3 linked regions of the Arabidopsis thaliana genome follow. The protein of the gene in region 1 interacts with the protein of each later gene in a pairwise test. Each region holds a gene or a part of one and is shown on either strand. Other genes may lie near its edges.

Region 1 (12,022 bases):
TTATAATGCTTTGTTCTGTTTTGTTTCTTTATTCTGTGAATATTTTTCCATTTTTAATTCTATTTTTTTATTACTTAGGTAAATGTAAGTGATTTCGCAAAAAAAAAAAAAAAGGTAAATGTAAGTGATCTGTCAATATTAAACCTATAAAACTAAAGTTATCTTGTAAAAATATATGCTTCTAAGTTTTTTTCAAAAATTTGAGGACGTAGGTGAATGTTTCTTTCTTTTGTCTTGAGGCACGGCTCTGCGCATAAGTAAAACATATTGGTCCAAGTTACTATTCTGTTTACTCAAAGGTTCTCCCAAACTACGTGACTTGGAGCTCATAGTAAATTTCTTCGATCGTCGTAAGGCAAACGTTGTAGGAGATAGTATGGATACATTGTTTTGTTGGAAGCAAATGATTGATGTCCCTCAATGTTTGTTGTCGAGTCTCCAAACTTTCAAGTGGAGAACTTATTTTCCAACAGAAGAAGAGAAAGGTCTGGCGACATATATCTTGGCAAAATCTTGCCGATTAAAGACTGCGAGAATCTTGATTGTTTCAAAGTTGGATCCACAAAAGGAGCTTGAGATGAAGAATGAGTTATTGTCTTCATGTGGTTCAACCACATGCAACCTCGACCTCGTATTCAAACAATTCAACGATCTTCTTTGAATCATTATATTTTATATATATATAATACTCGTCTAACAATCTTGCAATAACATCATTGGATTTTGATCTGTTTAAAGTTGTTGTTTTATATATTGATGATTTTTAAGTTCAACGATAAATTTTTAAATCGTAATTATAAACATGTCGATGTGAAACAACAAAAAAATAATAATCAGAATTATGGATTAGGCCCAACTAAAATCTAATTGGGTTCTTTATGGGCTTTAATTTATATCTGAATGAAAAATGTTCTTCCTCTTCTTCTTCTTCTTCTCTCTTTACCAATTGCTCTGGATTCTCTCTCGCTAAAGCTTCTCCATTCTCCACATGTCAACATTTTGGGCGTTTTTCGCGGCATTTGTTTCGAATTTCTTGTAATTTTTTCATTTCTTCTTCAGAATTATATCATCTTCCTCGTCCGTTGTAATTGATTTTCGAGGCTTTTTTTCTCTTAATGGGTTCGGCTTCGATTGGTTACCAATTCGGAATATCAGCTCGATTTTACGGCAATTTTAATCTGAGCTCAGATATTACTGTCTCCTCGCTTCCATGTAAACTTGATGTTTCCATAAAAAGCCTATTCTCAGCTCCAAGCTCCACTCACAAGGTAAAGGACCCGTCTTTGTTTATCTCTCTTAATCTCGTTTATGCCAATAACACTAAAGTGCCAAACTTTCAATCTGGGTCTCGTTTATGAATTGCGGATTTTGGATTTTTTTTGCCATCGATGGAATCTCCTAATGTATGCGTTTGATATCTAGGAATATTCAAATCGAGCTCGGGTATGTTCTTTGCCAAACACTGATGGATACTGCGATGAGAAATTTGAGACGCCAATACTAGACAGCATTGAAACTCCATTGCAGTTGAAGAATTTGAGTGTTAAGGTGGATTTCTTCATGTTCTTAACCCATATGTAGTTGAATGATAACTTGAAGGGCTTGAGTTTAATGGGGATGGTTTTTCTTCTCGTAGGAGTTGAAGTTATTAGCTGATGAAATCCGTACGGAGCTTCATTCTGTATTATGGAAGAAGACCCAAAAGTCTATGAATCCTAGCTTTGCTGCAATAGAGCTTACCCTTGCTCTGCATTATGTTTTTCGTGCCCCGGTTGACAATATATTGTGGGATGCTGTGGAACAAGTAAGCTTATGTTTTCAAATTCAGGGGATTGATGATTAGATTTTCTTATGTTTTGGTACAAGGGTTTGATGAGTTTCTTGTGGTGTTAACAGCATTTTTTTTGTCTTTTGTAGACATATGCACATAAGGTCTTGACACGACGTTGGTCTGCAATACCATCGAGACAAAACAGTGGTATTTCTGGGGTCACTTCTCGTTTGGAGAGTGAATATGATTCCTTTGGAACCGGGCATGGCTGCAACAGTATTTCTGCTGGGCTCGGTAATAATTTCGTCACCCTTTTTAAAGAGTCCAGTTGCCTATAGTTTTAGCTTTTTACTTTTTTTGTAAAACAAGAAGTAGACTTAGCTAATTAATGCTATTATCGATATGGTATGCTGAACGTTTATTTCTGTTTCTTAGGATTAGCGGTTGCTCGAGATATGAAAGGAAAGAGGGACCGGGTTGTTGCTGTGATCGACAATGTGACAATAACTGCTGGTCAAGCATATGAGGCAATGAGCAATGCTGGTTACTTGGATTCTAATATGATTGTTATACTGAATGATAGCCGTCACTCTTTACATCCAAATATGGAGGAGGGATCCAAGGCATCCATCAGCGCACTTTCTAGCATCATGAGCAAAATCCAATCTAGCAAAGTTTTCCGGAAATTTAGAGAATTAGCCAAAGTATGCATTTTCCATACTCTCTTTTTGAAACTTTGTAGTTGCTTACAATTATGAGGCTGGAAATTTGGTGTTTAACAATTAATGTTGACTAAATATTTTGAAGCTCCAAATTTGGTGTTTAACAATTTGGTGTGGATTTTGACAGGCTATGACGAAAAGAATTGGAAAGGGAATGTATGAATGGGCAGCCAAAGTCGATGAGTATGCTCGCGGTATGGTTGGACCAACAGGATCAACTCTCTTTGAAGAACTTGGTTTGTACTACATTGGTCCTGTTGATGGACACAACATTGAAGATCTAGTTTGTGTTCTCCGAGAAGTATCTTCTCTAGATTCAATGGGTCCTGTGTTGGTCCACGTGATCACAGAGGGAAACCGAGATGCAGAAACCGTAAAGAACATCATGGTCAAAGGTATATCTGTCTGGTTATGTTATTTTTTCTGAGAATATATGCTTATCCAAAATCTTGACTTTGTAGTTTTTTTTTTTGTCTCAGACAGACGCACTTACAGTGATTGCTTTGTTGAGGCTTTGGTGATGGAGGCAGAAAAGGATAGAGATATTGTTGTAGTTCATGCAGGAATGGAGATGGATCCGTCACTTCTTACATTTCAGGAGAGATTTCCAGACAGATTTTTCAATGTCGGAATGGCTGAACAGCATGCTGTCACATTCTCTGCTGGTCTTTCTTCTGGAGGTCTCAAGCCATTTTGTATTATTCCCTCTGCTTTTTTACAAAGAGCTTATGACCAGGTTTCACTTTCCTCTAGCACAAAATAAAATTGTTCTAAAAGGTTTTTATTACAAGCAAATGGCCTTAGTGTCTTTGATGGTTTCTTTAGGTGGTCCATGATGTAGATCGGCAGAGAAAGGCGGTGCGATTTGTTATTACAAGCGCAGGGCTTGTTGGATCCGATGGTCCAGTGCAGTGTGGAGCTTTTGACATAGCTTTCATGTCATCCTTACCAAACATGATAGCCATGGCTCCAGCCGATGAGGATGAGCTTGTAAATATGGTTGCAACTGCTGCTTATGTCACTGACCGCCCAGTATGTTTCCGGTTCCCTAGAGGCTCCATCGTCAACATGAATTATCTTGTCCCCACTGGATTACCAATTGAAGTAAGTTCCAATCTAATCTTCAAATCTTTTGGTTGCAAAAACAGACCGTGGTGACACAAGAACTGCTTTATCATATTAGAGTAGATCGGAAGAGGAAGAGTTCTCGTAGAAGGTCAAGATGTGGCTTTACTTGGTTATGGAGCGATGGTTCAGAATTGTCTTCATGCTCACTCGCTTCTCTCGAAACTCGGTTTGAACGTGACTGTAGCTGATGCAAGATTTTGCAAACCCCTAGACATCAAGCTTGTGCGTGATCTTTGTCAGAACCACAAATTCCTTATCACTGTCGAAGAAGGCTGTGTTGGAGGGTTTGGTTCTCATGTGGCGCAGTTCATAGCCCTCGATGGCCAGCTCGATGGGAATATCAAGGTAGAGAGACAAATCAAAACCTCATGTTCTCACCTGTTTTTGGTTTTAAGTTGTAATTTTGCTCTTAACATTGTGTAGTGGAGACCCATTGTGTTACCGGATGGCTACATAGAAGAAGCATCGCCTAGGGAGCAGCTTGCTCTTGCAGGGCTAACTGGACATCACATAGCAGCAACCGCTTTGAGTCTTTTGGGCCGAACTCGTGAAGCATTGCTTCTCATGAGCTAGCTTAACCTTCTCATATGGGATTTACCTTCACAAGAGACTTAAAGAGGAGTTTCTTAAACAGAATTTGTAGATAATACATTCTGAATTCAAGAGCCCATTTGATATCCTGATTTTGGAATAGCAATCTGCTATGTATTGTAAATGTAGAGTTGAGAATTGACTAAAATAAATTCAATTACTTTTTAGGCGGTATCTCAGTTTTCATATTCTCAGTTAGTTGTTGTTGTTGTTGTTGTTGTTGTTGTTGTTGTTGTTGTTGTTGTCAAGTCTATTTGGTGTAACAGTCGCATGTCCCAAATCTGGAAACAAACAAAATATAGAACAGAGACGTGTATTTTCGATACTCGAGTTTTTTTTTAATAAAAGCATCTTAAAAAATTAGTAAAGAGTTACTGTCAAACAATATTCGTTTAATTACAAATCCGAGTCCTTCTTCTTCTTCTTCTTCTCGATCTCTGTATCTCTCGATCATTTCCTTCTAAAGGAAGCGTCTTTGATCTTAATCGTCGTGTCGTTCGTTTCTAACTGTAAGTTTTCTCCTTTTCATTCATTTTGCTTCAATCTCGATCGGAATCAAGTAAAAAATCGGAACTTTTACCTAGATTTCCTCAGGAATCGAAAAGTTCTTGTGATTTAGCAGAACCTCTATTGTTTCCGATCTCTTAATTCAATTACTTGACAAAAGTGATTATACTTTCTCTGTTGCAGTTATATTGAAAGATGGAAACAGAAACGGAACATGATAGAACTGTCTCTGTCGATGACAACGACAGCCTTGTACCTGAGCCAAGCTCAACGAAAGAAAGCTTTTTTGAAGATCTCTCGCTTACTGGGCAAGTTATGAATCCTCAACTTTCAAGTGCAGGCGAAGTTTTGACAAAAGTTGAATTGGATTTTGCTTTTGTCTCTGAGAAATTGGTCAATCTTAGTCTTCTTACTATGCAACTCGGCACGAGGGAAAATGATTTTGAGTCTTTTGTTTCTAAGAAAGAAGAAGATGAAGAAGAGCCTTCGAGTAATGTTGATGATGATGATGATTCTGCTGAGAAGGCATTGGAGTTTGATCTCTTGTCTTCAATTCTCAATTCAGAGGTGAAAGAACTTGAATCGCTTCTTGGTTTTCTCCAGAACGAGATTCAAAGCGCCCGTGTCATGATATCTCCGTTTCAACATGATGGAGAAGCTTTCTTGGATTTGGAAGGGAAGTTGAATGATACTGAACAATCTTTGGGTCAGTTAATGGAACAAGTAGTGGAAATGAAGAAGCAATCTTCTAACTTTCAGAGGTTATCTTCTGGTTTGGATGAACAAGGAAGCTGTAAGTGACCAATCTAGCTTTCTTTTTAACCTTGTTGTGATGATCACTTGGTGAGAAAAATTTCAGGCTTTAATGAATACTATATAACTTTGTTTTTGCAGGGTCTGGAGGGCAAACTTCAGTGTCTCAAAACGATGGTGAGTTTGGTGATCTGAGCGCTAAGATCAATATGCAGACTGCTGATCAGCAAAGGAATGTTTTAAGGATGCTTGAGAAATCTTTGGCTAAGGAGATGGAACTTGAGAAGAAACTAAGTGAATCAAGAAATACTGAACGAGAACTAGAGATGAAACTGTATTCTTCTGAGCAGGATGTTGTCTACATGGAAGAAGTAACCGAAGATGCGTTCTCCAGGTGGCTTGAGGCAGATAATGCTGCTGAAGTCTTTAAGGGAACGTCAAAGGAGATGTCTGGAAAACTCCAGATTCTTCAGTTCAATCTAAGTGGCTCTTTTAAGCGGGAAGACAACTTGAAGTCTAAGCTTGTTGATTCAAAGGAACGTTTAGAAGCTAAGGAATGCGCCTTGCACAAGCTTGATAGCAGCAATGCAAGACTTGCTGACTTTCTTGTGGCACAAACAGAAGGCTTAAAAGAGAGTTTGCAAGAGGCTGAAGAAAAATTGATTTTGTTGAACACTGAGAATTCCACATTAAGTGAGAAAGTTAGCTCCCTTGAAGAACAACTGAATGAATATGGGATTCAAACAGAAGATGCGGATGCTACTTCTGGTGCTCTGATAACAGATCTTGAACGTATCAACGAGGAACTGAAAGATAAATTAGCCAAAACTGAAGCAAGGGCTGAGGAAACAGAATCCAAGTGCAAAATCCTAGAAGAAAGCAAAAAGGAGCTTCAAGACGAGTTGGGGAATTTCAGAGACAAGGGCTTCACTATACATAAGTTAGCATCGCTTGAGAAACACTTGAGGGACTCAGATCTACAACTAGAACATGCAGTTGCAGCTGTTGAAGCAAGTAAAGAAAAGCAGAACTTGTTATATTCTACTGTTTCTGATATGGAGGATGTGATCGAGGATCTAAAATCAAAAGTTTTGAAGGCTGAAAACAGGGCCGACATTACCGAAGAGAAGTTGATCATGGTATCTGAGTCTAACGCAGAGGTCAACGAAGAACTGAAATTCTTTAAGGGTAGATTGAAAGAAGGGGAGAAATATTTACAGCAAGCAGAAGAAAGAAAATTGCGAACCGCCAAAGATATCGGGGTACATAACAAGATCATGAAAAAACTGGTCATGCAACTAGCTGCTGAACGAGAACGACTTCATAAACAGGTATTACCATATTCGTAAAACCCCAGTTCGCTGTTAGTTCATGTCCTTGTAGCTTCATCATCATCACAGTGGATTCTTAGATATAGTGACTTATTTGCAGATAACTAACCTGTCAAGAGAGAATTGTGTGTTGATGGTGAAGTTGAAAAAGGTTGGAAAAACTGGTTATATGGAAAGTGGCAATGGAAGTGAAGTTTCACCAAAGTCGGACCAGAATGCTTCTTCTTGCCATCAAGGAAGTAGACTTCAAGCCACCTTCATTTCATTAACTAATCCAGAGGTAACATAATTCTACCTTACAAAAAATCTGATCTTTTGCTGGCATCTAAGTGAGTTATACCATTAAGCTTTAGTCCAACAATCGAATATTATGAATCTAAGCTTGACGTTAGTAACCGTGGTCACCTTTTTGTAGGAGGAAGAAACAGGTTCAAAATCAGATATTGGAAGTGTAAGGAGATTAGATGTTGGAGCTCTTAGGTTCAAACACATTCTCGTTGCAATACTCGTGATCTTAATATCGTCGATAGCTTATGTTATATCCCAGCAAAACATGTAAGAGTCTTTAACTTTTTCCAAAATCTCAGTCTCCAGTTTTGTACTCTCTTTGTCATAGTTTACAATGACAGATTATATTTTAGTTCTTTTTGGCTACCCAGTTACAGAAAATCTGCTATATAATTAACCCCGACACTGGTATTTTGTGTTATTACAATATCTTTTTCAGTGTCAAGTATTAGTACCTCTCTACACATTAGTCCTTAATCTCTGCAATATGATTAAGACCATCCAATACTTGTTGCATCAATGGCCGTTTCTTTGTATTATGCGCTGTGCATCGGTTGATGAGTGTGCCCATCTGTGTCGCCGCATTCGCAGAATAATCGCTCCCAAGTCGGGGATCGATTATTTCCTCAATCTTATAATTATCTGGCAAGAAAGATGAGGTCCAGTAATCTACTAAGCCTTGCTCTTCCTTAATCTTTTTTCTATCCTTGGAACCCATTAAAAGTTCAAGCAAGATCATACCAAAAATGTAAACATCGGTCGTCATATCCAAAATACCTAACACATACATTACACAATTGTCTTAACGTTGAACAACGAAAGATTTTTCAGAATTTGTAAAACGAAAGTTAATGCTTTCGTGTACCTAACGATCCCCATTCAGGAGATAGGTATGTAAATCTTCCCCTCTTGAGACCTTCATCTACCAAGCTTCGTTTGGTTGGTTCGAGATAGAACAGTTTTTGCATTGTATTGCTGATGAAATCCAAACTTAGATATTAATTTCTAAGATCATAAACAAAAAGAGAGAAGAAGGATGGAAATAAAACAATTACCACCTCGTCAAGCATAATGTTATGCATCCTGAGTTCTCGGTTTAGGGGGCTGTTCTTGATCGAGTGAAGAAACGCGAGACCTTGAGCTGTTCCAATGGCTATCTTAACCCGTATTTCCCATGGCAATGCCTCTTCTTCTTCTGTTGAGGGAAACGTAAAACTATAGGTAATGCAATAGTTGTCTATATCTTAGAATGGACCCATTAGCTAGAAAAGATCTTAACTTCCGAAAATGTGACTGTCCAAACTTCCTTTGTGCGAGTATTCAAATACCAAGAAGAATGGTTTGTTGTCTTCACAACAGTAACCCAAGAAATTGACCAAATTCTGATGAGACAACTGTCCAAGAGACCTCACTACTGCCTGCAACTCATAGTTTTTGTACCCATCAGATAAGTACACAAGACTAACAAGGAATAAGAGATAGGTATCAATATTGCGTAAAAATGAACAGACTTTGCTTACCATCCAGTCTTGTAAAGAGCGTGAACTATCACATTCCATGACAGAAACAGCGATTCCGGTTCCAGCTCTTGATGGTGCAAATGTGGTTTCATCTATGTAGCCCTTGTAGAATTTTCGAACAGAGTAATCCTCGCATTCTACGACCCTGTCTTGTCTGAATTTCTTTGTCGCTTTCTTCAATCCGCGAATCTGAAGACTCTCAGATTCTCGTTTTCTGGCTCCACTTTTCATATATACGTATAAATCGAACAATGTATTTAGACATTATTCGTAAACAAAAAGTATAGTGCTTTCAAAAACAGAGATATACCTGAAAATATTGGAGGGATAATGAGAGGCTTGGGAGCAATTGAAGGAAGTTGTTGTTTGAAATGCTTTAGACAGTTTCCCATTGAAGGAAAGAAGAAGATGATTAGAAAGATATGTAGATTTCTGGCTTCAAGATTTTAACAAATCTTTATAGGGTTTTAATAAGAGTTTGTAACTTATTAAAGAAGCTACTAAAAAATAGGTTTAGACTGGCCTCAGAATTCAACCCTTTGAAATTTTCAATTTCTCATTCAGGCAAAACAAAGCAAAAGACATAGAAGGCAAGTTTGGGTATGTCTGTATCCATATAAGGCAAGTTTGTGGAAATTTTTCTAGGACTCATTTATAGAATGAAAGAAAAGAGTTGATGCGACATAGAAGGAGATTTTATCTTCTTTGTTTCAAACTTTTATTCCAAACTTGTTCAGCTTCAAATCTCATTAACTCTTACACATTAATCTTTAATCTCTGCAATATCATTCAAACCATCAAAGACTTGTTGCATCGATGGTCGTTTCCTTGTGTCCAACTTGATGCATCTTTTGATGAGTTTTCCCATTTGTGTCGCTGCATTCACAGGATAATCGTTCCCAAGTCGAGGATCGATGATTTCCCGGATTTTAGATTGATCAGACAAGAAAGGTTTAGTCCATACATGTAAGCTTTGCATGTTCTCATTCTTTTTACCATCTGAAGCTTTCAAACCAGTTAAAATCTCTAACAATATCACACCAAATGTATACACATCACTCTTCGTTCCCAAATGACCTAAGAACATTACACAACTGTCTTAAACATCGAACCACGAAAGATTAATTAGAGTGTTCGTTAACAAAACTTAAGATTTTGGTGTACCTGAGATTACATATTCAGGAGGTATATATACAGTTCTTCCTATGAATGCAGTCGTCACGCTTTCTTCTAACAAACATAGTTTCTTTGATCCAAGATAGAACAATTTTGTGTTGTAGTGCTGATGAAATTTATAAGTTCAGGCATTATTGTAAGGTTATAAACAATAAGAACAGCAAGAAGAGTGTTCTAAAGTCATTTACCTCGTCAAGCAAAATGTTATACATTCTGAGTTCTCGATATAGCGCGCTGTTCTTGACCCAATGTAGAAATGCAATACTTTGAGCTGCTCCTATGGCTATCTTGACCCGTGTTTCCCACGGTAATGCTTCTTCTTCTTCTGTTGAGAAAACATGAAACTGTAAGGCAATATTGAGTATACTGATTTTATAAATGGACCCATTGATTAGAAGAGATCTTAACTTCCGAAAATGTAACGGTTCAAACTTCCTTTATGCAAGTATTCGAAAACTAAGAATGATTTGTTTTCTTCACAACAATAGCCTAAAAGTTTGACTAAATTGGGATGAGAAATACGTCCAAGAGACTTCACTTCTTCCTGCAACTCAATAGTTTTTGTACCCATCAGATGCATAAGTAACTAAACAAAACATACATAAATAAGATCAAAGAGATAGAAATAGTAGTTGCGTAAGATTTTGGTTACCTTCCAGTCTTGTAGAGTCTGCGAATTATCTTGATAACATTCCATGACAGAAACAGTGATTCCAGTTCTTGATGGAGCAAAGGTTGTCTCATTGATGCAGCCTTCGTAGAATGTTCGAGTAAACCCATTATCATTACCTTTTATGACCATGTATTTTCTGAATCTCTTTGTTGCCTTGTTCAATTCGGCAAATCTAAACTCTTTCAAATTCTCCTTTACTGGCTCCACTTTTTACATTTATAAGACGTATTAAGATATTATTATATATGTAAACAAAAGTAGAAAGTGCATTTGAAAACGGAGATGTACCTGAACTTGAAGGGATGGTGAGAGGCTTGGGAGAAGCTGAAGGAGGTTGTTCTTTGAGAGGCTTTAGACAGTTTCCCATTGTTGATCATAAAGATGATAAATCTGTAGATTTTGATTTTTATATTTTAATAGATCTTGTAGGTTTTTTTATGAGGTTGAAAATGATTTAAGTGTGAAAGAAGCTTCAAAAAAGGTTGGGCTGTCTCAGAATTCAACACTTTAAAAAGTCAAGTTCACATTCAAAAGCCAAAAGAATCCACAGTATTTACTATTTACTATGCCAATGTCTATATAAATGCTTATAAGGCAAAATTTAGAAACATTCTAGAATAAACAGGGCTTGAAAAATTAGATTCTTGTTCTCTGTTTGGAACAGAAGAGATGCAATGTATATAAGAAAGTAAACATAATTAGATTAGAATCATGCAGACTAAACAGCCTGAAATCAGAAAATAGAACAACAAGTAGTGTCTCAGACAACAGCGAAAGAGATGGCTCATAAGTCAAAAGCCAGGTTGGTTCAAGTAGTAAGGACCAGGTTGGTTCACGTAGTAAGGGCCATGGGGTGTCCAATAACCATAAGGTGTGTAGGTATGATATTGGGGTGGTGGAAACTGGTCCCAGTTGGGTACATAGGTAGTACTTGTTGTTGTTGGGCGTTTTGGTTATTGTTAACCCTACCACCAATATAAGCAAGATTGCACTTGGCCTCTCGTCCGTCTATGACCGGTTTTGGATTCTGGCAAGCTCTCGTTGCAGATTCAGCATCTCTAAACGTGACAAAACCATAACCCTCTGATCGTCCCGTTTCTCTATCGCAAACCATATTAACATGTATAATATCTCCAAATTGTTCGAAGTAACTTCTCAAACCTTCGTTTCTTGTTTCCCAAGGCAGACCTCCCACGTATATCTTAGTGTATCTAGTGTCAACGTTTTCGTTCGCGTAATGTTGAGCCACGTCTCTGTCACAAGTATCAAAAAAAATTAGTGACAAGAAAGTTCCAACAATTAGAAATACATTTAGAAAATCCAACAATCGGAGAAAAGTACTAGATATGAAAATCTTCATTATGCATACATACTTTGTCCAATAAAAAATAGGAATTAGATACTAGAAAATTGGAAATTAAATAGAGAATTTAGGGGATGTATTGAAAGTGGAATTTTAAGAGATTTGTGTAGAATTTATAAATCCTATATTATAATGATTTTAAAAAGTTTCATGAAATTCAGTGTTATTGAACTAATGATTTCAAAATCCATAATTTGTG
Region 2 (10,019 bases), about 14 Mb from region 1:
AAATCTTTGGCTTAAATTTTTAGTTTTAGTAATCAAGTATTTTTATTATATTTTTACTTAAATGTTTTTTACTTATAAAGATGTCATATTTGAAAGAAAAATAATAAACACTAAACCGGCCGATTTAGCCGATTAACACCGATTTTTAACGCCTAAACCAGTAAGCTGATATGATTCACGGATTTCATGAGTGCATAGGCAGATGCCGGTTACTATCTATGCCTAATAGTGAACAGGTGCAAAATATTGGTTTGACAAGAAGCGACTTCTCAAACCAATCTTCTTTTTCTATATACAACCTAGTGGAACCTAATAGTGAACAGCTGCAAAATATTGGTTTGAGAAGTTTTTCTTTGACTGATGGCGAGTTCTAGTGTGGATGTCTGGATGACGATAATGTAAAACAAAGATGGAGCGTTGTTTTTATCAAAACGAAGAAAACTGAAGATAAGTGGAAAGCTTTGGATGTCAAAGAATGGAATATGTAGTGCACAAGATCTCAATCTTTTACGTATAGTTGCATCGGTTGGCTTAGGCATCAACCCATTAGATAGATTTATGGAAATGCATGGTTCAACATTGGTGTTGAACGCTTGAATTATAACCCAAACAAAAAAAATCATTAAGTAACCAAAATCTTTAAACATATATTAAGATCCTTTATCACACTAGTAGTCCTAAGACATGTACAAGCCAAAACACCAAGGAAAGAAACCAACGAAACCGCTACCTGGTTTTATACTATCTATGCCGATTACCAAAAGTTGTCTCTAAATGTTGACATCTTCAAAAACCGTAAGAGGCAGCTCTGGTGATACAGGCATTGTCGCTACACACTTGAACTGTATTGAACCAAATAGAAAAAGAAACATGTGAATCTCAAGAACATTGTTCTTCAAATTATCATTTAATAGTATTTAGGGTTACCTTATGCTGCTTGTATTTCTCTCTTATAGCTTCTAAAGCTCCACATTTTCTACTCAGATACAAGTCATGTATCATAGCCACACATTCTTTCAAATCACCCGCTTTGTATCTTGTGTATTCTTCCAACATCACATTCTGTTACATTCAACACCAGAGCTTTAGCTTCTTATATAAAGTAGTGAACACAGAGAATTAGAACAAGAACCGCTTTGCAAAATGCTTTACCCAGGGATGTTGTTTTGGACGGATGATGAACCTAGCGAGAAACACCGCTGAAGCAGCCACAGTAGACGGAAGAAACTTCACAGATTGATAGTCTAACATGCTCAACTCCGAAAGATAGCTACAAAGAAACTCCATCTGTAAATGTGACATCTGAAACAAATAAGAGAAATTCTTAGCAAATTTGATACTCTCTATAAATTGCAAATACCACAATTCAAAAAGAGCTTACTTCGAAATCTTCTTGTGCAACCCTTGTAAACCGTCTGCACAAAGCAAAACGCAATGAGACAATAAACTACACAAAAACATTACTCAATGAGCACCAAAAGAATCAGAATCAAACCTTAGAAACGTGTTGCTTGTAGGGTTTCCTAATTCAAATTGCAACGCAAGAAGTATATCAGCTTCCATCTTAACAATCTCTTGTTTCGTGTAAGTATTGTCTGTGATATAACAAAAGTCATCCACATTTGGAGGAGTAATCTCTTCATACTTTCTACAAATTTTTCAAAACCAAAATCCAAATAAACAAACCCACACAAAAAAAGAGAGATTCAAACAAACAAAACAAGAAAAAGCTTACGAAGCAATAAGCATTGAAGTAACTCCCAAAAGCTGAAGCCTTTGTTTATTAACAGTCTTGAGAGACAAGAATCTATCAATGTAAGAAACAGCGAGGTAAAGAGTGTCTGAGAGAAGTTTGTATTCTTCAGCAACTTCTACTAACCAATCAACCAAAACTCCTCTCATATTCGAAGTTACATCTTTCTGAATCTTCTCTATATAATCAACCAAAGGTCTTGACTTTACCTGAATTGTGTTAATCGAGAAACTAACTCAGATTGTGAAATCTAGAAATCTAGAGATGGGTTTTGTTTCTTTACCTCTAATTGACGAAGATACTCGAAGATTGATGTAACATAAGGACCACACATTTGTGGATCATCAGATCTTGTGTCAATGTCTGAATTTAAGGTTTCGATTGTCGGAATCGAAACTGATTTCTTCTTCTGTTTTGTAGTGGCTTTTCGAGATTTCTTGATGTTGGACAAGTTTGGAAGCTCTCCGAGTACGACTCTCTTCTTGTTGATTCGTTCTTTGTCTATTGCCGCTTCCATGGAAGCTTTTCTTTTTGTTGCTGCTCTTGTCATTCTCACGCAGTTCTCTTTTTCGTCGGCCATGGTTGATTGGATTCAAGAGAGAGGGATTGAGATCGAGATTAGGTGGATGAGAATGGAAGTGAGAAGGGTGAGAAAAAGAGAAGAAGCGAAGAGACATTTTTGTGATTTTTTGGAATAAAGTTTGGATTTTGGCGGTTTTTCCGAATTCTTTACAGGTTTTGATTTTTTGAAAAATGAAGCTGAATTGTGTTGGCGCGATGTTTTGATTAGAGTTTTGAGCTTCGAAATTTTCACCGGGAAATGTTAAATTTGGTATCACAGGAAGACCTAATTCGTAAACGAGGAAGATGATGATGCAAATTGTCAATGGGCTTGTTTATTGGCCCAATATGTCTTGCCCAATAGTAATGTTTTTAGGAAATATTCCCAAAAAAACCCGAACTATTTAAAATCTGCCAGAAAACTACCTGAACTTTTTTCGTTGTCAAAAAAATATACAAACTAATTTGGATTGAAAATAAAAAACACGATCTATTATTTTTTTCCGATTACCTCCCTTCGCCGTAACGACCGTTAACGGCGTTAACCAAATCGGTTAACATTTTCAATTTTATTTATAGAAAATTTCTGAAAAAACCACGACTTATTTAATATTTGCCAAAATAATACCCGAACTTTTTTTCGCTGCCAGAAATATATACAAACTAGTTTAAAGTTGAAATAAAGAGCATGATGTAGTTTTGTGTTCCAATTTCACTCACTTTATCGTAATGGTTACAAAAGGTTAACTAAATAAAAATATATTTTTTCATTTTCTTTACACGTGGTAAATAAGAGTGGCGATAAAGCCGATTTTATCCCCTTATAAACCCATAATCTATGTTGAACCTCTTTGAATCCTAGTGTTAATATAACACATCTATCCATTTCAGATATTAACCATAATAAACTGAAGAAATTAATAAGAAGAACTTTCGTTAACAAAGGGAGTATTTTTTTTTTTAATTTATTGTTGCTTACATCGAATCTAGATATACGATAGATATTTTAAAAAAATTTAGTAATTTAGGATAAAATATACCCATCAATAACATGATTTTGGTTGATATTACTCAAGATCTTAAGGTTTTAGAGGATTGCTTTAATAGTCAAGCTTTTTTAAGAATTTTTGTAAATAAAATTAACAATATTTGACAATTTGGTTAGGGAAATCGAAAAAATAAATATAGATCGTGTATTATATTTCCAATTTAAGTTAGTTTGTGTATTTTTATGACAACAAAAAAGTTCATGTATTTTTTTGGCAAATATTAAATAAGTTAGGTTTTTTTCCAGAAATTTTCTGTAAATAAAACTAACAGTGTTTGACGATTTGGTTAACGTCGTTAACGGTCCGTTACGGTGAAGAGAGGTAATTGGAAAAAAAAAATAGATCGTGTATTTTATTTTCACTCAAAATTAGTTTGTGTATTTTTCTGACAACGAAAAAAGTTCAGGTAGTTTTCTGGCAGATTTTAAATAGTTCGGTTTTTTTTTGGGAATTTTCCCAATGTTTTTAACACAACAATTTGTTTTGTCTTGCCCAATGAGATTGAACAAGACCCAAAAAAGAAAATTTTCAATTCTAAGCAACTGTTAAAAATATTTATGGCCTCATTGCCTGGTGGATAAAGCCGTTCATAGTGGTCTGATTATTGCGGAGAGAGTTTGTCCATCGCAGGGATATCATACATGTACAACCATTCATAGAAAATCTGAGTGTTGCAGGGAGAACTGTACCGTGGAATTGTTGCAGATTGTATGTAGTTGAATACCACCATCATATGACGTAATAAGAAAACAAAAACAAAAACATCTATAGCACTAAAAATAAAAAATGTTACAACAGAAACAAAGATTTTTATGGAATAAATTTAAGAATTCTTAAATTTGTATTCTGAAAAGAATCTATTTAATAGAAAATTGGTTGAGAAAATTTAGCTAAATTTGTTTTTTTTCCCTATCCTTATAAAACTAAATCTTTTCAAAAGTTTGGTAAACTAGATTTCATTTTTATAGAGATAATGTATTTTTATTGACCAATTCATATTAAATTCTACTAGTTTATTAATGTCATAAAGTTCGAAGCTATTAGAGAATAACGTAAATCTTCTAGCATATACTATCATAAATTCAGCGATCTTGAGTACACATAACACCGTGATTCTTCCATGTTCATCCCATGTTCTGGTTTATGTTATCATAAATTCAGTGATCTTGAGTACATAACACCGTGATTCTTCCATGTTTTGGCTTATATTATCATAAATTTAGTGATTTTGAAGACACATAACACCGTGATTCTTCCATGTTCTTCCATGTTGATCTTGAATACACATAACACGCAATATAACATTTATACATATAACGTAAATGTTTTACAATCATATACACTAGGTTTTCTAAATTCTTAAAAATTGAGTTGAACTCTTCACCGCGAAACCTCAATTTGACATTTTAATAATATTTTTTTTACGGTAGCGAAAAAGAGGTACATTGTGTATTATTTTTGACTTTGTATGATTACTTTATATTTTTAAAAGTAAAGGGTAAAGTTTCAGAAAACTCTTACCAACATCGAAGAACTATTTTACTTGAAACCGGTTTTGGTAACTAACGACTCAGATAATAAAGTGAAGAACCGCATATTGGGTAATGATATTTCTGGAAAACAACTTTATACTAAACTCCTGATTATCCATGTGACTTTTACTAATCAGTTTTGAAACAGAACAAAAATAAGAGAACTATATCAAAAATAAAATAAAATATGATATCATCAGGGTCACGCTCAAGTCCAAGACCAAACTAGGTGAGGCTAGAACCTTTAATCTTTTTTTGATAGGAACAGAACCTTTAATCTTCCTTACAAATTACGGCGAATGCAAGGTTGAAGACCATCAAATAAGGCATCAAAATACCTTGGGGGAAAGCAAATACATATGAATTTGATTCCTGAACCGTGCTCAATACCGTGTTCATACATCAACATTTAAATTTGATTCATAATCGTTTGCATTTCACACTCTAGTCAAAGAACTTCTTAATATTACATCCAATCTTTGAGCCATTGCTCGTAAAATGCTCTATATCTTGGTATGACAAAGCAAGGTCACGTTTTGGTTGCCACAACAAATTAAAATCACTAAGATCTTATACTAGTTCTTCTTGCAAATATCGTACAACATGATGAACCACGCTCTTCATCTCTGTATGACAAAGGCAAGGTGTCTAACTCTATTTAAATATGTATTCAATCTTTCAAACGTTTTGTCTTGATTTTTTGAACATAAAATTTTGAAAATGGGTGACTACGAAGGTTTTTTTCACATGAATATACTTTGGTTACCGATCGGTCTGATCATTTTAAAAATAAATCACGCTTAATGTAACGCACCACCCAATTCTTTAAACGACACCGTACCAAACCTCTCTTATCAGTTATCACCCACCCACCACAACATTACTGCCACAAATTTCAAAATCCCTAAAAAGCTTTCAAACAAATAAACTCAGAAAAAATGGCCGAAACCGAAACGGAGTCGATCACCACCTCTTCTCCACCGCCGATCTCAGAAACCGAAAACTCCACCACATTACCAACAACGGAGACGGAGAAGAATCCCAATCCGGTAACCATTTCCCTCAGAATCTGGCCACCGACTCAAAAAACTCGCGACGCCGTGATTAACCGTCTGATCGAAACACTGTCAACCGAATCAATCCTCTCCAAGAGATTCGGATCTCTTGAATCCGAAGAAGCTTCCTCCGTCGCGAAATCAATCGAAGACGAAGCTTACGCCATCGCTTCTGCCACCGTATTCGGTGATGACGACGGGATCGAGATTCTTAAAGCTTATTCTAAAGAGATTAGTAAACGTATGCTTGAATCTGTTAAGGCTAAGAGTAATGTGGCTTCTCCTCCACCGAAGGATGGTGATGGAATTGAATCAGCTGTTGATTCGAAGATTGATTCAAGTGAAGCTTGACGAGGCTTGAATATGGTGTTGTTCTCTTATCTCTAACTATCTTTTTATTTGTTTTAGATTGGTATGCGATTATCTATCTCAGAGTTTTGTTTGTTGTATAACTTGTGGATTTGGGACCTGTTACTAATATGATTTTGTGGTTGATTTGGTTTTGACGTTTTAATTTCCATGGTAATTAACTCGTTAATGGGATGATTTCGCTTGCTTAATCATGGTAAAAGAAAATTTTTGGATAATTATCTGTCTTAATCATATGGTAATTAACTCGTTAACTTGTGATTTAATAAACTCTTGAATTATGGTGATTTACTTGTTAATTGCAAGGTTTTACACTTTCTTAATCATGGTAATTAGCAAGGCTTGAATATTAAACAAAAAGGAAGGATTTGGCTGATTTTGCTTTCTTAATAGTGTTAGCAACTCGTTAAATACATCTTCATTTTGACATATGCGTAGTATTTTTTGTTTAGGTATTCGAGATCACATGAATCTAAACCATTAGAGAAACTAGACATTTTTGTAAGATAAGTAGTTTTAATTTTATGGTTTAGGTGACTATTGTGACAATGAAAACATATCTCCCCTTACTTTCGTTAATTCTTTTGGGTTAGAAGCATAGTGCGATTACAACTAATGAACTTTTACAAAATTTGAAAGTTTTTTTTTTTGGATTCAAAAACTGGAATTTAGTTGTTCATGTGCATTGGGCAGTCAAATAGTTTTTTTCTTGGAACCAGAAATCTGCCTTTGATATGTCCTCCTGACTCTTTCTTTGTCTTTACTCTTTATTGGTTTTGGAGCCTTGGAATTCGAGAGTTTAATTTTAAACCCCACTGTTTTTGTTCTTTAGTTACCGTTCCGGATTCAAATCCTTTTTTGGTTCCCGCTTGGAGTAAGCTAGACAAAATTCATTCATTCAAAGTCACTAGAAAGATAATACTAAAAGAATCAATATATCTATGGGAGTGCTTTCTTAAACTCTAGAAAAGATGATTCCATTTCCAAAGACAACATCAATAATATTCAACGAACATTTAGGAAAAATTTAATAAGACATGTATTTCATAATGGTTTTGCTTATAGCTTATTCTACTAAAAAATTAGAATAAACGCACACACCAAAGCTACAACAATGATAATAATATTTAAGTGCTTAATTTAAACATAACTTTAATAAATTTATTCTTATCATATGAATATAGTGTAATGAAAAATGGTTTGTATTTGTTATTTTTGAAACGAAATTATTTCATCTATTTAAACGTCATTGAAAACCTTACATATCAACAAACACTATACATGTAAGTTGTAACGTAATAAATTAATGGTGATTTATATTTTCGACAAATAAATATATTATGATCGTTAAAGTTAATGATTTATATTAACGTTTTAAATTTCAAAAAAACTAATGCAAGTAAGGATATTCAATTTAGTATAACAGATAGGTGATTAATTTTATGTCAGCTCAAAATTTTAAACCACATTATTTGATATGGGGTTCAAAATTCACATATATATGGTTCTAAGAAAAAAAAACTCACAAGGTCTAAATATTTATACATATAACTATATCAAATTGTGAAATTTTAAAAAGTCTAACTCACATTTTTTCTAGAAAAAAAAATATTTTATTTCTTGAAAGCTAGAAAAAAATATTTTATTTCTTGAAAAATCACATTTCTAACATTAGTTTTAATGTATATCACCACTAAATATCAATAAAACTATTCTTCAAGTGAAATTGATGGCCAAATCCGGGACACTTTTCTAGGCAAAAGGAATATCCAATGCTTCGGAAACCTTCTACAGACTTGGTTTATGTGGCATTAAGCTATATGCTTTAGGCTAATCCTTGTTTTTTTTTTTGGCAAGTATGCTCTTAGTTGGTTACGCTCAAATTTTGGTAAATAATTACAAACCCTCTCATTCCATAAGGATATTTCTATTTATATAGAAAAAGCTCACAAATCAAGACTATATTAAAAACTATGAAACAATACACTAATTAGTTATTTGCCTGAAAGAAAAATACTTTTCTTTTCTTTTCTTTTCGACGGGCTGAAACAAATCTTTCGATTTACACTTATCGACCAAAGGTGGTAGTTGTTGATCAGTGACCACGCCCTCTTCTGCTCGGCCCAGACGCTAACCGGTAAGCAAAGCTCTTCCCCAAAGGACGTTGACTTGTCGAGTTGTTCTTCACCTTCATGATCACCGACGATTGATCATGGCCTTTAATATCTCTCAACGCCTTTGATCGTAGAGCTCTGCAATCAACTCTCTCAAACATCAATGATGACCCCACCAATAAGAAGATCACAAACAACAGAAACACATTCTTCTTCTCCATCTCTTATAACTTTTTTAAAAAAACTTCTTTGAGTTCTTTCGCTAGCTTCTTCTTTTCTCTTTCGATACTTGTTCTCTTTTTTTTCTTTGAGATTAAGAAGAATGTCTTCGTGATTTTATATGTATATATGCGATTGTGTGTGCGTGTGTAAGCGAAGGGCATTATTTCTTGACCGAGAATGTTTGACTATTTGATTTTGTGTATCGCGTTTTTACATATTTAATTGAAGTCTTCATGTTTTCAATCTTTTACTATTTATAAATAAGACGGACAAAATAATTGACGTGTATTCATATTGCAAGTCGAACGAGTTTCTTCAACTACCACCTCCTTTGGCCACAAGGTATGTTTGTTGAACTCTGTGACTTTAATAAAAAGCTATATATGTTACCATTGTGATTTTTGAGAGCTAATCTAATGGTAATTTCAATAGTGTTTGTAAAAATTGTAAATATAAATTAGTAAATTTCTATCCGAAATATTAAGAAATATGTGGTAAAAAGAAAAAAGTAACAAAGGAATGTACATTCACAACACTAGTTGTGTCGCCTTTAATTTGTTGGTTTGTATTTTAGCCACCCTTAAGTCATGCGCCATGAAAATCTAAAGATTTAAGGAATATGGAAAAAAAGGCACTACCAAAAGTTTAATGATTTATTTTGTATTTTAGTTTATCAAAAAATGAAAATATTTTTATATGTAACACTAATACAGTGAGAGCGTTTAGATTAACATTGTTGTTGATTCTTTAATTTGAATATTTATGAAAGTAGGCTTTTTAAAGTTGTTGATTCAATGAACGCAGACTGGAAATAAGGACACGTAAAAACTATAACTGGAAGATATGAACCTAGGAAGTGAGACGGATATATGCGGAGGGGCAGATCTCGTTACGGCTTCTATCACCTATTTCTTCACTAAATGGTATTTGGTTCAAAATTATATAGAGCTGCCTAGAACCGTCTAGGAACACACTGAGACCCTTTTAAGATCGTTGAACTCATCTTAGTAACAAAACCGTTTAATTTTAACGTCTTAAAAAAAATCCTTACCATCCATAGCCGCCTAACGTACAAGCGCCTACCTAGACATTGCAGAAAATGCTTGAACTAATTAGTGTAGCTTTCTATCCACAATTAGTGAATGCATATGCGTTTTAAAAACCAAATAATTGATAAATGTAAACATTATTTTACCTGCATCACTATTACTATTTCATTTGGAAATAAAAAATCAGACATTTACATGCAGTATATAGATCAATAAAGCTTGGAACTATTGTCTCACGTTAAATCTTCTTGAAAGAATCAATCTCTTCTTCTCCTTTTTTGACTAAAACAAAAACTTTCGATTTGCATATCAAAA
Region 3 (10,086 bases), on another chromosome or scaffold:
TCCTTGACGAATTCAGTATTTAACTTTTTCTTGCAACCGTAAATCTTGTTTCAATCAAACTAATAGATTAATTAATTTGAAGCATTACAGTATTTAGGGCTTTTCTGTGGTTTTCTATTTTTATATAATTTCATTTCCGATTACTGTTCTAATAACCGACGAGGAAGCATGAAAAGCAAAGTAAGTTGTACAGACAACTTCCTGCGTCGGTGAGAAAAATATATACAATCCAAGAATCAGTTGATGACCTTTATGGCTTTATGCCTTTACGATTTCAACACTAAAGTAAGAAAAGTAAAACACTTACTTTCTTCAATTTAATACCAAAATAAAATTAAGAAAATGAAAGTAATAATTGTGTAAAATTACTCCACAAGGAACAAAAAGGACAACAAATTTTAATTCAAACTATATAGGCTGCATAAACTGAATTTCTTTGAAAGAATTAATACCATCACTGGAGTATATCTTGCTCTTAAACATCCCACTTTTGTTCAAAAAAAAAAGAATGTATTTGCACAGAATGACAAAACCTTTCCCCAATAATTAAGTAAATGACAAGAGTAATTATACCTTTGTCTATGAATGTATCATATTTTGAACAATTTATTTACCTCTTTCTGTTAAGGAACGATGATGGTCTTCTGTTTTTTTTTTTTTGTTATATTTCTTATGTAGACATCCAAATTTACCAAATATAATTGAGTTAATTGTATGCAAGGCATCATAAAGTTAAAAACTTATAAGATCCGAAACATTGCAGAAGTGATTACGAAAACCGGCACTTCTTCCTTTGTAAAATAACGCTTCTACCCTTGTGTTATCATATGGAGAAAACAAATAAAATGGAAAAGGAGATTCGTTGATTTTGGAGGAGATGAATGATCAGTGTTGGAGTTGGAATTCAGCAGCTGATAAAGGAGGACTATATGGGCGATGAAGATGATGAATAGAGGAAGCTCGGTTTAAAAACCAAAATTGGAGATTCCATGGCGATATCTGATTTCGGATCACATGATTTTCCAAACAAAAAGTCAATTAGGTAATATTTAAAGAGAGATCAAGATGTCTTTGAGTTGATTTAAGATTCGATTATGGTTTTTGGATTGCTTTCCAATGGCATAACTATACAAATACACAAAATTTGTTTCATATAGAGCTTAAGACATCTTACAAATGACCAAATGACATAGAATATTACCCAAATGAAACTAAACCGGAGACTCCAATTATAATCGGTTGAGCTGGTTAAAACCATCAAGCTAAGTGGTCAAGGGCCTAGGATGATAAGGCCATCTACATTGGTAGATTCTCAAAAAAGAGTTTCTCATGAATAAAATATTGCTTATTTTAATTGAATTCAGATAAATTATTAATTTTAATGAAAAAAAAGAAAATCAACCATTCCTGAAAAAACACGTGGCCAGAAACGTCTCTCAGAGTTTCTGAAAACAGAGACGATTCTCACTTCTCTCTCTTCTTTTTCACCACTTTATATTATTTTAATAATAAGTATCTTTTCTAGATATTGCAGATGGAGGGACAAACGCTCCTCCTTCTCTCTATAAAACAAAGTCGCCGCCGTTGTTGCTAGGGTTTCGGTCCCAGTGACTTTTTCAGCACCAGAACCGAAATTTCTTGGTTTCTTCATGTTTAGTTTTTGTTTTCCTTCCTCTCTGACAGATCTGAACCTTTTTTTTTTCCAACGGTTTCAGATCTAAAATTTCAGATCTAAATCTACAATTTCTAAATTTTTCGTCTTTGGATTTTGCTGCTTGTTTTTGTCCCTTTTATGTGCAGCACCAGTTCTGGCCGTTCGAACCTCGGCAGAGGCGAGTTCTTTCACCGCCTTCAGAAGTAGATTTCTCTCCTTTGAAGATCTCGATCTCCTTTCTTCTTCTTATGACCATCATCATTTGGGTCGCGGGGTGTTTGTTTGTTCACCGCCGTTTGTGGTAAAGAGAGTCCTGGTTTTGTTGGTTTTGTTTTCCTTAGTGTGAATCTGTTTGTTTTTATGGTGATTTAGACTTTGTAATTTTATTTTTGATTTTTTGAGTTTGGATTCCGAGAAGATTGGTTCAGATGCGTGTATTTGTATGTTTGAGTTTATTTCCTCTTTAATTTTTCTTAATTAGATTTTTGTTTCTAGGAGTCTACATGTACTCGCCGGCTTATGTCTTTGGAAGGTTTGATTGCATTGCCGCCTATTGTATTCAGAACTTATTTCATCAATATAATTTACCATTCTAGTGAAGAAAAAAAAAATATTGTTGATGGAGGTGCTCTAACTCTTCTAATCCTAATACTAAAAACAAGATCGTTGAAAATTAAAAAGAATAATCCAATTAGAACAAAGGTACATCTTTCTTCTTTGGATCTAAAGAAATAATATACTCCCAAAAGTAGAATGTACACTTGGTGAATGGGACATGAAGCACATGTGTGGAAGCTAATATAGGAGTTTTTCTTCTCACGTGTCTTTTCCTACAAAGCTTCATGATCAGTTGATCACCTCTCCGCTTACACTTGTCTTAAAAAAAAAAAGCCAACGCTTAGCGTACCACACAGATTATAGACTTCTGAATTTTTTGTTGGCATGAAGTTGCTCTGCCAAAAAAGGGTCATCACCCTTCTAGCAAACAATATAATCTCAATCTCTTTACTGACCAAGCCTCCCATTTGTGATGATGGGGTCATCCAGGATGACAAAAATTGTTTGGCTGAGATCTTATCAATCAATTGACCAATAAGCATAGTTTCTATTTCACATTTTTTCAATCTGGTTATTCCCATATCCGCCTGCTTTTTGTAACTTATGAATAAAAGTATTAAACCAAAAAATTTCTGATTTCTAAACCTACATTTGATTTTATCTAATCTCCTTTCCACATCACAAAACAAAACTATGTAACTGTAGTTATAAGTTATTGGCTTACATATAAACTATGTATGTTTTTCTAAGTCATTGTTTTTTGGATTCTTGAATTGATAAAGAAATTCATGACGATTCTGTATGGAAGAACTGCGAACTTTAAAACTCTATTTTGACTGTAATCCCTAACCACTAACCAGAGAAGACTAGAGAGAATATCAAAGAATCAGTGAAATTGTTTCAGTTACTAAATTAAACGAATACAGAGGTCAATGAACTCGAAACATACCCACCTGAGCATAGGAAGGAAGAAGGAAGAAGGAGAAAATAGACTGGAATCATCCTCTAATTCTATGTAAAACAACATAAGAACAAACACTATCTACACATTACATAACTTGGTTTAAAATTCAACTGGCCAAAATCTAATCCAATAGAATAGGAATACAAAAACAGAGTAAAAACAGAAAGAAACCGCTATGACATAACCACTAGAAACTTGTAGGCAGTGTTTTTCATGTTCTGATGTAATTAGGTTCATCAAACTAGTTACTTGAGGATTTATAAAATCTAAAGATACTTAATCCGTGCTCCGACTCACCACAAGTTCATGTCATCACTGAAAAATCCAAAGAACTTTCAGCCTAATCCTAATGGTGTGTTCTAAAGAACTCCAAATCCAATCGACCAAACACTACACAACCTATAAGCCATAGAAAGCTGCATACACCAAAGTAAGACAAACTCACATGTTCCTGTCACCACTGAAAAGTAACAGAACTTCAGCTTAATCGTAATTGTAACCCAATTTAAAAAACGTTACATAACTCAATGGTAAGCTGCATAGAGACACTAATGGTCACCAAAGCAAAGATGCAAATGTGCTTAAAGAAACTGAACAAAACAATAAACTCAACACACCACTCTAACATTCACAAAGACATAACCCGATGATACTAACCGTAATTACACAATGAATGACACAAATCAAACGATGTGGTTGTTGAATACACATCAATCAAAGCAATCCAAAACACACATAGCAGAAAAGGAAAACAATTTACCAACAAAGATGCATTATTGTTAAATATCAAATCCCATAAAGCCAAACCAAGCAACAAAATGAAGACACTTGCACTCATATTAAGGAAGAAGAAACATCTTCAAATATGCATAATACCAAATCCACAAGTCATCATCATCATTACAAGAACAGCAAAACCCTAAGAGACAAGAGATTATAATAAGGAAGTAAAACCAAATTTCTCAAGCCTCACTCTTCTCCTCCTCTGAAGCAGGACCAGCATCATCTTTAGAAACCTCACTAGCATCAGTATTAGCATCCTCCACACTTCCATTTCCAACACTAGCATTAGATCTAGCCTTAACAGATTCAAGCATCCTCTTACTAATCTCTTTAGAATAAAGCTCAAGAATCTTAATCCCATCATCATCACTCGACACAGCATTCGAAGCAACACCATAAGCCTCTTCTTCGATAAGTTTCGCGACGGTGGTTGCATCGTCAGATTTAAGAGTACCGTATCTCTTAGAGAGGATTGATTCGGTGGATAAGGTCTCGATCAGGCGATTCAGAACGGCGTCGCGAGTTTTCTGAGTCGGTGGCCAGATTCGGAGAGAGATTCCTCCTGGTTTCTTCTCTGATTCGGCTTCTTTCGTCAGATCTGTGTCTTTTGAGGCTGCTTCTTGAGATGTTGGATCTGTCATTGCAGAAATAGTGGTGGAGCTTTCGGATTCCGGTGGCGGCGATGAGATCGTGGTGTTGATTGTCTCGGCGGTTTCTGCCATTTTCGAAGTTTAGGGATTTTGGAGATTCTTTGGAAGGATCAGTTATGACGACGGTTCACGAAATGACAAAGTCTTTAGAGTTTAGAGTTTAGACATTGATTGGTTTGGTTCGGTGTTATTATAAATAATTAAATAACCGAAAATTCAGGAAGTATTTGAAATTTAAACTTTGTGTGGTGGAGAAAACTATAGTCAATATAAATATTTCAGTTATAATCTTAAACTTACGTTCAAATCTTTTTATGAATTAATTACGGTTTTATTTTAAATTAATTACATAAAATACAATTAATAATAAAAATTTCAGCTAATTTTATTGATATCAGATGAAGATAATATCAGTATATAAAATACAATAAATGTTTTAAATATAAATGTTTTGTGGAAAATAGTATATATATAAAATCAAAATAAGTAGGGTAACTTGATTTTTTCTTACAAATTATTTTCAACTGAACTAATCTTTAGGTAATCCAAATATTATTTTACAAAATCTAAATAGGGTAATAATCATAAATGACGATAACCACTACATTCTCATTCGACTATCTTTTCAAGCGACTTTGTATTATCTTTGGAGAGAGTGGAATGAGAGGAAGCTCACAACAAGAAATGTCGGACCCATATGCAGCTTCTAGCCATGATCGAGAAAACCATTCACTCTCGCATCATGTCATTGTGTTACTACGAGAAACCAAAACTTAAAGATTGCTTCAAACTTTGTATGTGACGAGACCCCTACATTAGTCACTGCCAAGATCTGTCCTCAAATCTTTGATCTGTTTTGTTATGTCTTGTTTTTGTATATTGTCACATTCTCATTGTAAATTATTAGTTACCAATCAACAAATTTTACATCATAAAAAAGCAGTCAAGAGATTTTTTTATTTTAGAACTATTTGGCAATCAAGTTTGAAAAATATATTGGGTGGAGGATCAATTGAACATGTGGATGATGAGTAAAATTAGTTTTGAGTCTAGTTAAAAGGTGATCAAGGTCTATTATGATATTTGGTGAGCTTAGAAGAAATTAGAAAACATAATCGTTTCTCAACCGAATGTATATTCGCAACGTTTCTTCACCTTGAATTTGCCTTGGGTTGGCTCTGCTCTAAGGAGGTGTCTTTGTTGTTTTTGATTGTTTGTTGTGTTTCTTCACTTTGATAGGATAAAGGTTTGTTCCGCATGATGTTCCAGTGAGCTTTCAGTGTTGGATAGAAGCGGTGATTTGGTCTAGAATGTCTATATTATATTGTGGGAACTGATTTTTCTAGTTTTATGCTTGAGAATGGTGGCCTTTGGTGGCCAAAGGCGGCTTTTCTGGATGTTCGTAGATGCTCTTTTGCTGTCAGGTAAGTCTATTCTAGCGGTTTTGTTTTTGTGTTAGTTCTCAAAAAAACTATTAGCGTCTTTTTGTTTTAAGGTTTTGAAGATAGACCTCATAAAGAAATTGCTCGTGGTAACAATAATGAAGATTCAATTTTTGTTGGAGATGGGACAATTATACAAATGTCTGAGCCTCACGGTTCAACATTGATGTTCTTCATCGAACCTATGCTAGCTGCTTTCCACTTAGCTTTCATTATAGTTTTCGTAAGTTTATTTAGTTATAGATTTTGGTCTTTATATCTTCTTTGTTTTTTTCTGTAATCGTTTTCACAATTTAGACCATACTAAACAACATAAAATTCTCAAAATTATAAAATAATCACTATAAAAAAAAATAAAAAAGGATCAAAATTTTATTTAAAAAAACCCTAAAAAACTAGTTAGTTTTAAAAAGTCATGATCTTGTTTAAAGAAAATTGTACATTTAACAATTCTAAATATTTTATTAAAAAATATAAGATTAGTAAAGTACAAAATATCACAATCTTTTTTTTTTTTTTTTTTTTTGTCAAAGACAAAATATTACAATCTAAATTATAAATTTAACAGATGTCTTCGAAGGGACAAAAATGTCAAATGTCAAATTTGTTTCTGAATCGAACCACCACGGCCAAAACCCCAATCTTTACCGGTCAAAAACATTTTCAGGCAAAATCTGAAAACAAAAAAACATAAATCACCCGCCCAAACAAATTTCAGAGAATTTTCGCACCTCCAAAATTTTTTAGTTGACTCCCAAAAAACTCAAACTCCAAAAAAATCACAGAGAGCGCCACAATCAGAAAAAATGGCGCTTTTGCTCTTCCCTTTTTCTTCCCCTTCTCACCTTCTCTTCTTCCACTCATCCGATCTCTCAATCCTCTCAAATCTCAAACTCTCTCTTCCCATCACTCTCTCGCTCTCTCTTCAATCTCATCTCAATCATGACAGAGCAAGAGATCTGCGTGAGGGTTACAAGAGCGGCGGCGAAACGAAAAGCTTCGACGGCGATGGGTATTGACGGAGATCGGGTCAACAAGAAGAGAGTTGTTCTCGGTGAGCTTCTAAACGTCTCCAATGTCAATCTCTTGGCTAATCTCAATCAGAAGAAAGAAACCCAGAAGCCAAAAAGGAATCTTAAACCTCCTCCGGCGAAACAGATTAAGTCAGCTCCGGTGGCTATTATTGACCTAGAATCAAAATCTGACATTGATTCTCGATCTGATGATCCTCAAATGTGTGGACCTTATGTTGCTGATATCTATGAGTATCTTCGTCAACTTGAGGTAATAATGATCTTGTGTTTTGGATTTAGAATCATTTACTTAGTTCTTGAATTGGATCTGAATTGGATTTGGTGAATTCAGGTGAAGCCAAAGCAGAGACCTTTACCAGATTACATAGAGAAAGTTCAGAAAGATGTAACACCAAGTATGAGAGGTGTTTTGGTTGATTGGTTAGTGGAAGTTGCTGAAGAGTATAAACTTGGATCTGAAACACTTTATCTCACTGTCTCACATATTGATAGATTCTTGTCTTTAAAGACTGTTAACAAGCAAAAGCTACAGCTTGTTGGAGTTTCTGCTATGCTTATTGCTTCGTAAGTGTTTTATGATTCTTCCTCTCTTGTGTTTGTTGTCATTGTTTATGTATGGAAGCTAATGGAAGTATTGAAATGTTGTAGGAAGTATGAAGAGATAAGTCCTCCTAAAGTGGATGATTTTTGTTACATTACGGATAATACGTTTTCGAAACAAGATGTTGTGAAGATGGAAGCTGATATACTTCTTGCTCTTCAGTTTGAGTTGGGAAGACCAACGATTAATACTTTTATGAGGTTAGATTTGTGTGTATTGGTGATGATTACTTATTGGTTTGTCTTAGTTTCATTGTTCTGATTTTGTGTGTTGGTGTTTGTGTAGACGGTTTACTAGAGTTGCACAAGACGATTTCAAAGTTCCACATTTGCAGCTAGAGCCTCTTTGTTGCTATTTGTCAGAATTGAGTATATTAGATTATAAGACTGTGAAGTTTGTGCCGTCTCTGTTGGCTGCTTCTGCTGTTTTTCTCGCTCGGTTCATCATCCGTCCGAAACAACATCCTTGGGTAAGCATATTTGTCTCAGTCTCTTTCAGGTTTTAGTCTGCTGTGGTCATTGTTTAGAATGAGACACTAATGATTTATGGTTGTGAATATGTAAACAGAACCAAATGTTAGAAGAGTACACAAAGTACAAAGCGGCTGATCTACAAGTGTGTGTTGGAATCATACATGACTTGTATTTGAGCAGAAGAGGAGGTGCTTTACAAGCTGTTAGAGAGAAATATAAGCACCATAAGGTACTTAAACATTACACATTGATAAAATCATTTGAATAAGCAGAGCTTTCTTGATACTTAATGTTGCTTCTTCTCGGTACAGTTCCAATGCGTTGCGACCATGCCTGTTTCACCAGAGCTGCCGGTTACCTTTTGGGAGGATGTTACCATTTGATCTGAGGTTATGCTATCTTAAGCAAATGTTACGGAGCTGGATTACCGAATCTTGTTTCAAATAGTATAATGGACACAGATCTTCAAGTGAAGCTAGAAGAGTAAGAAATATAGAAGTGAAGGCAGGAGCAAATAAGTCTGCGTTATGTGAAGATGTGTGATGTATTATTGAAATCTCTTCTTTTTTATTTACAAAATTTTAGTGTGAAATTCGGAATAATATAATTTTATACAATTATGCAATATGATATAAGTATTTATGTGACATGATCTTATTTTGTTTAAGCATTGAGCCTACTACTGTATGTTTATACTTAATGAAAATTCCTAGAGGGCTAAAACTCTAGAAGACATTGTTGTTAATTTAAAGAAACTAATGAAAATCTCAAGAAACAAAAGAAAAGAAAAGATTGTCTATGAGATTGATAATCAAGTTTACTAAAGAGAGATTAAACTTGAGAAACAAGAAACAAGGGAGCTTTAGCGATGACTTGAAAAGTTTCGGTGTGAAGATCCAAAGACAAAACCATGGTTTCAACTTTCACCCTCGTGTGAACCAGTGAAGTGAGCCATCAACATACACAGGATCTTGGGTGTGAGAAACCAGATAAGGGGATGCAGGACAACGTACCTCCAAGTGTTGGTTGCAAAATCAAAAACTTCACAAGTTGTAGCGTTCTCGTTTAGGCCTAACTCAGCGGAATAAGCAAATCAAATCGAAATTATAATTAGGGTTCTACTTTACAATTTTCTCCAAAGTAAAATTACAAGTTTTAGATTAAAAAAAGATAATTATATGTAATTACTTTTTGAGATTTTTAATCAAGTAAAAAAAGGTAATTTCTCTAAATTAACACGTTTTGGAACGATTTTTTTTTTAATTTCCTTTTTTTAATTACTTGGGATTTCGTGTTCAACAAGTTATTGTTTTGGGCTTTGGTTTAATTTTCCTTTTTTTTTTAGTCTGTCTCATCTCTCATCTGAATTCTGAAACCTGGTTGTTTTAGGATAGAGTCTTCTACTCTATATATAGGACTTAGTGTAAGATTTATTGTTGTTCTTTCGAAGATGTGTTCTTGTTTTTCGATAAATATGGTGTCTAAGAAAGATAAACAGATTCATTCCGACCATAACCCTCAAGATGCTTCCCCGGTAGAGTGGGCGGAAATTCGACATAAGCTACTTGCGTTTCAAGAGAACATTCAATCAGGCTCTGACATTGACGCTAGGTCTGATGATCCACAGATGTGTGGACTTTATGTCTCAGATATCTACGAGTATCTCCGTGAATTAGAGGTACGTAATAAGATCTCCTACTTGCTCTGTTTTTGGACTTAGAACATTGACAAGTTTCAATAGGTCAATTTAGTATACTTTATCTGAAGAGTTTCTATGATTGTTCTCTGTTTGGACTTAGAATTTGTGGATATGTTCTGAAGATTTGTGTTTTTGGTTTGGTGAATATTCAGGTGAAGCCAAAGCTAAGACCTTTACATGATTACATTGAAAAGATTCAAGAAGATATAACACCAAGCAAGAGAGGTG

The links.
Region 2: the proteins of WIT1 (region 1) and WPP1 interact in a two-hybrid assay, tested with the Arabidopsis thaliana proteins (one study listed by BioGRID).
Region 3: the proteins of WIT1 (region 1) and WPP2 interact in a two-hybrid assay, tested with the Arabidopsis thaliana proteins (one study listed by BioGRID).

The regions. Positions count from the first base shown.
Region 1 is NC_003076.8:3,629,057-3,641,078, forward strand, and holds WIT1 (WPP domain-interacting protein 1), read left to right. Parts: upstream 1-4,592; 5' UTR 4,593-4,721; intron 4,722-4,902; 5' UTR 4,903-4,914; coding exon 4,915-5,512; intron 5,513-5,613; coding exon 5,614-6,803; intron 6,804-6,903; coding exon 6,904-7,083; intron 7,084-7,218; coding exon 7,219-7,362; 3' UTR 7,363-7,557; coding exon of another isoform or gene 7,558-7,868; 3' UTR 7,869-7,878; downstream 7,879-12,022. Other genes in the region: AT5G11370 (FBD / Leucine Rich Repeat domains containing protein), read left to right, coding at 356-661; DXPS3 (1-deoxy-D-xylulose 5-phosphate synthase 3), read left to right, coding at 1,116-1,268, 1,423-1,548, 1,637-1,804, 1,918-2,065, 2,207-2,475, 2,621-2,888, 2,973-3,229, 3,319-3,597 and 2 more; AT5G11400 (Protein kinase superfamily protein), read right to left, coding at 7,558-7,868, 7,957-8,066, 8,220-8,286, 8,371-8,509, 8,612-8,817, 8,922-9,003; AT5G11410 (Protein kinase superfamily protein), read right to left, coding at 9,375-9,688, 9,776-9,893, 9,976-10,112, 10,196-10,331, 10,440-10,666, 10,749-10,827; AT5G11412 (RNA-binding (RRM/RBD/RNP motifs) family protein), read right to left, coding at 11,293-11,820. UniProt on the Arabidopsis thaliana protein: Together with WIT2, required for the nuclear envelope docking of RANGAP proteins in root tips.
Region 2 is NC_003076.8:17,285,541-17,295,559, reverse strand, and holds WPP1 (WPP domain protein 1), read left to right. Parts: upstream 1-5,601; 5' UTR 5,602-5,833; coding exon 5,834-6,301; 3' UTR 6,302-6,595; downstream 6,596-10,019. Other genes in the region: CYCA3;1 (Cyclin A3;1), read right to left, coding at 771-842, 928-1,062, 1,153-1,302, 1,382-1,415, 1,496-1,648, 1,736-1,962, 2,037-2,333; AT5G43068 (uncharacterized protein), read right to left, coding at 8,415-8,654. UniProt on the Arabidopsis thaliana protein: Regulates the mitotic activity in roots. Plays a role with HSP70-1 in facilitating WIT1 nuclear envelope targeting.
Region 3 is NC_003070.9:17,294,043-17,304,128, forward strand, and holds WPP2 (WPP domain protein 2), read right to left. Parts: upstream 4,788-10,086; 5' UTR 4,682-4,787; coding exon 4,139-4,681; 3' UTR 3,789-4,138; downstream 1-3,788. Other genes in the region: CYCA3;2 (cyclin-dependent protein kinase 3;2), read left to right, coding at 6,994-7,335, 7,417-7,649, 7,734-7,886, 7,972-8,155, 8,254-8,388, 8,471-8,542; CYCA3;3 (Cyclin A3;3), read left to right, coding at 9,634-9,837, 10,011-10,086. UniProt on the Arabidopsis thaliana protein: Regulates the mitotic activity in roots. Plays a role with HSP70-1 in facilitating WIT1 nuclear envelope targeting.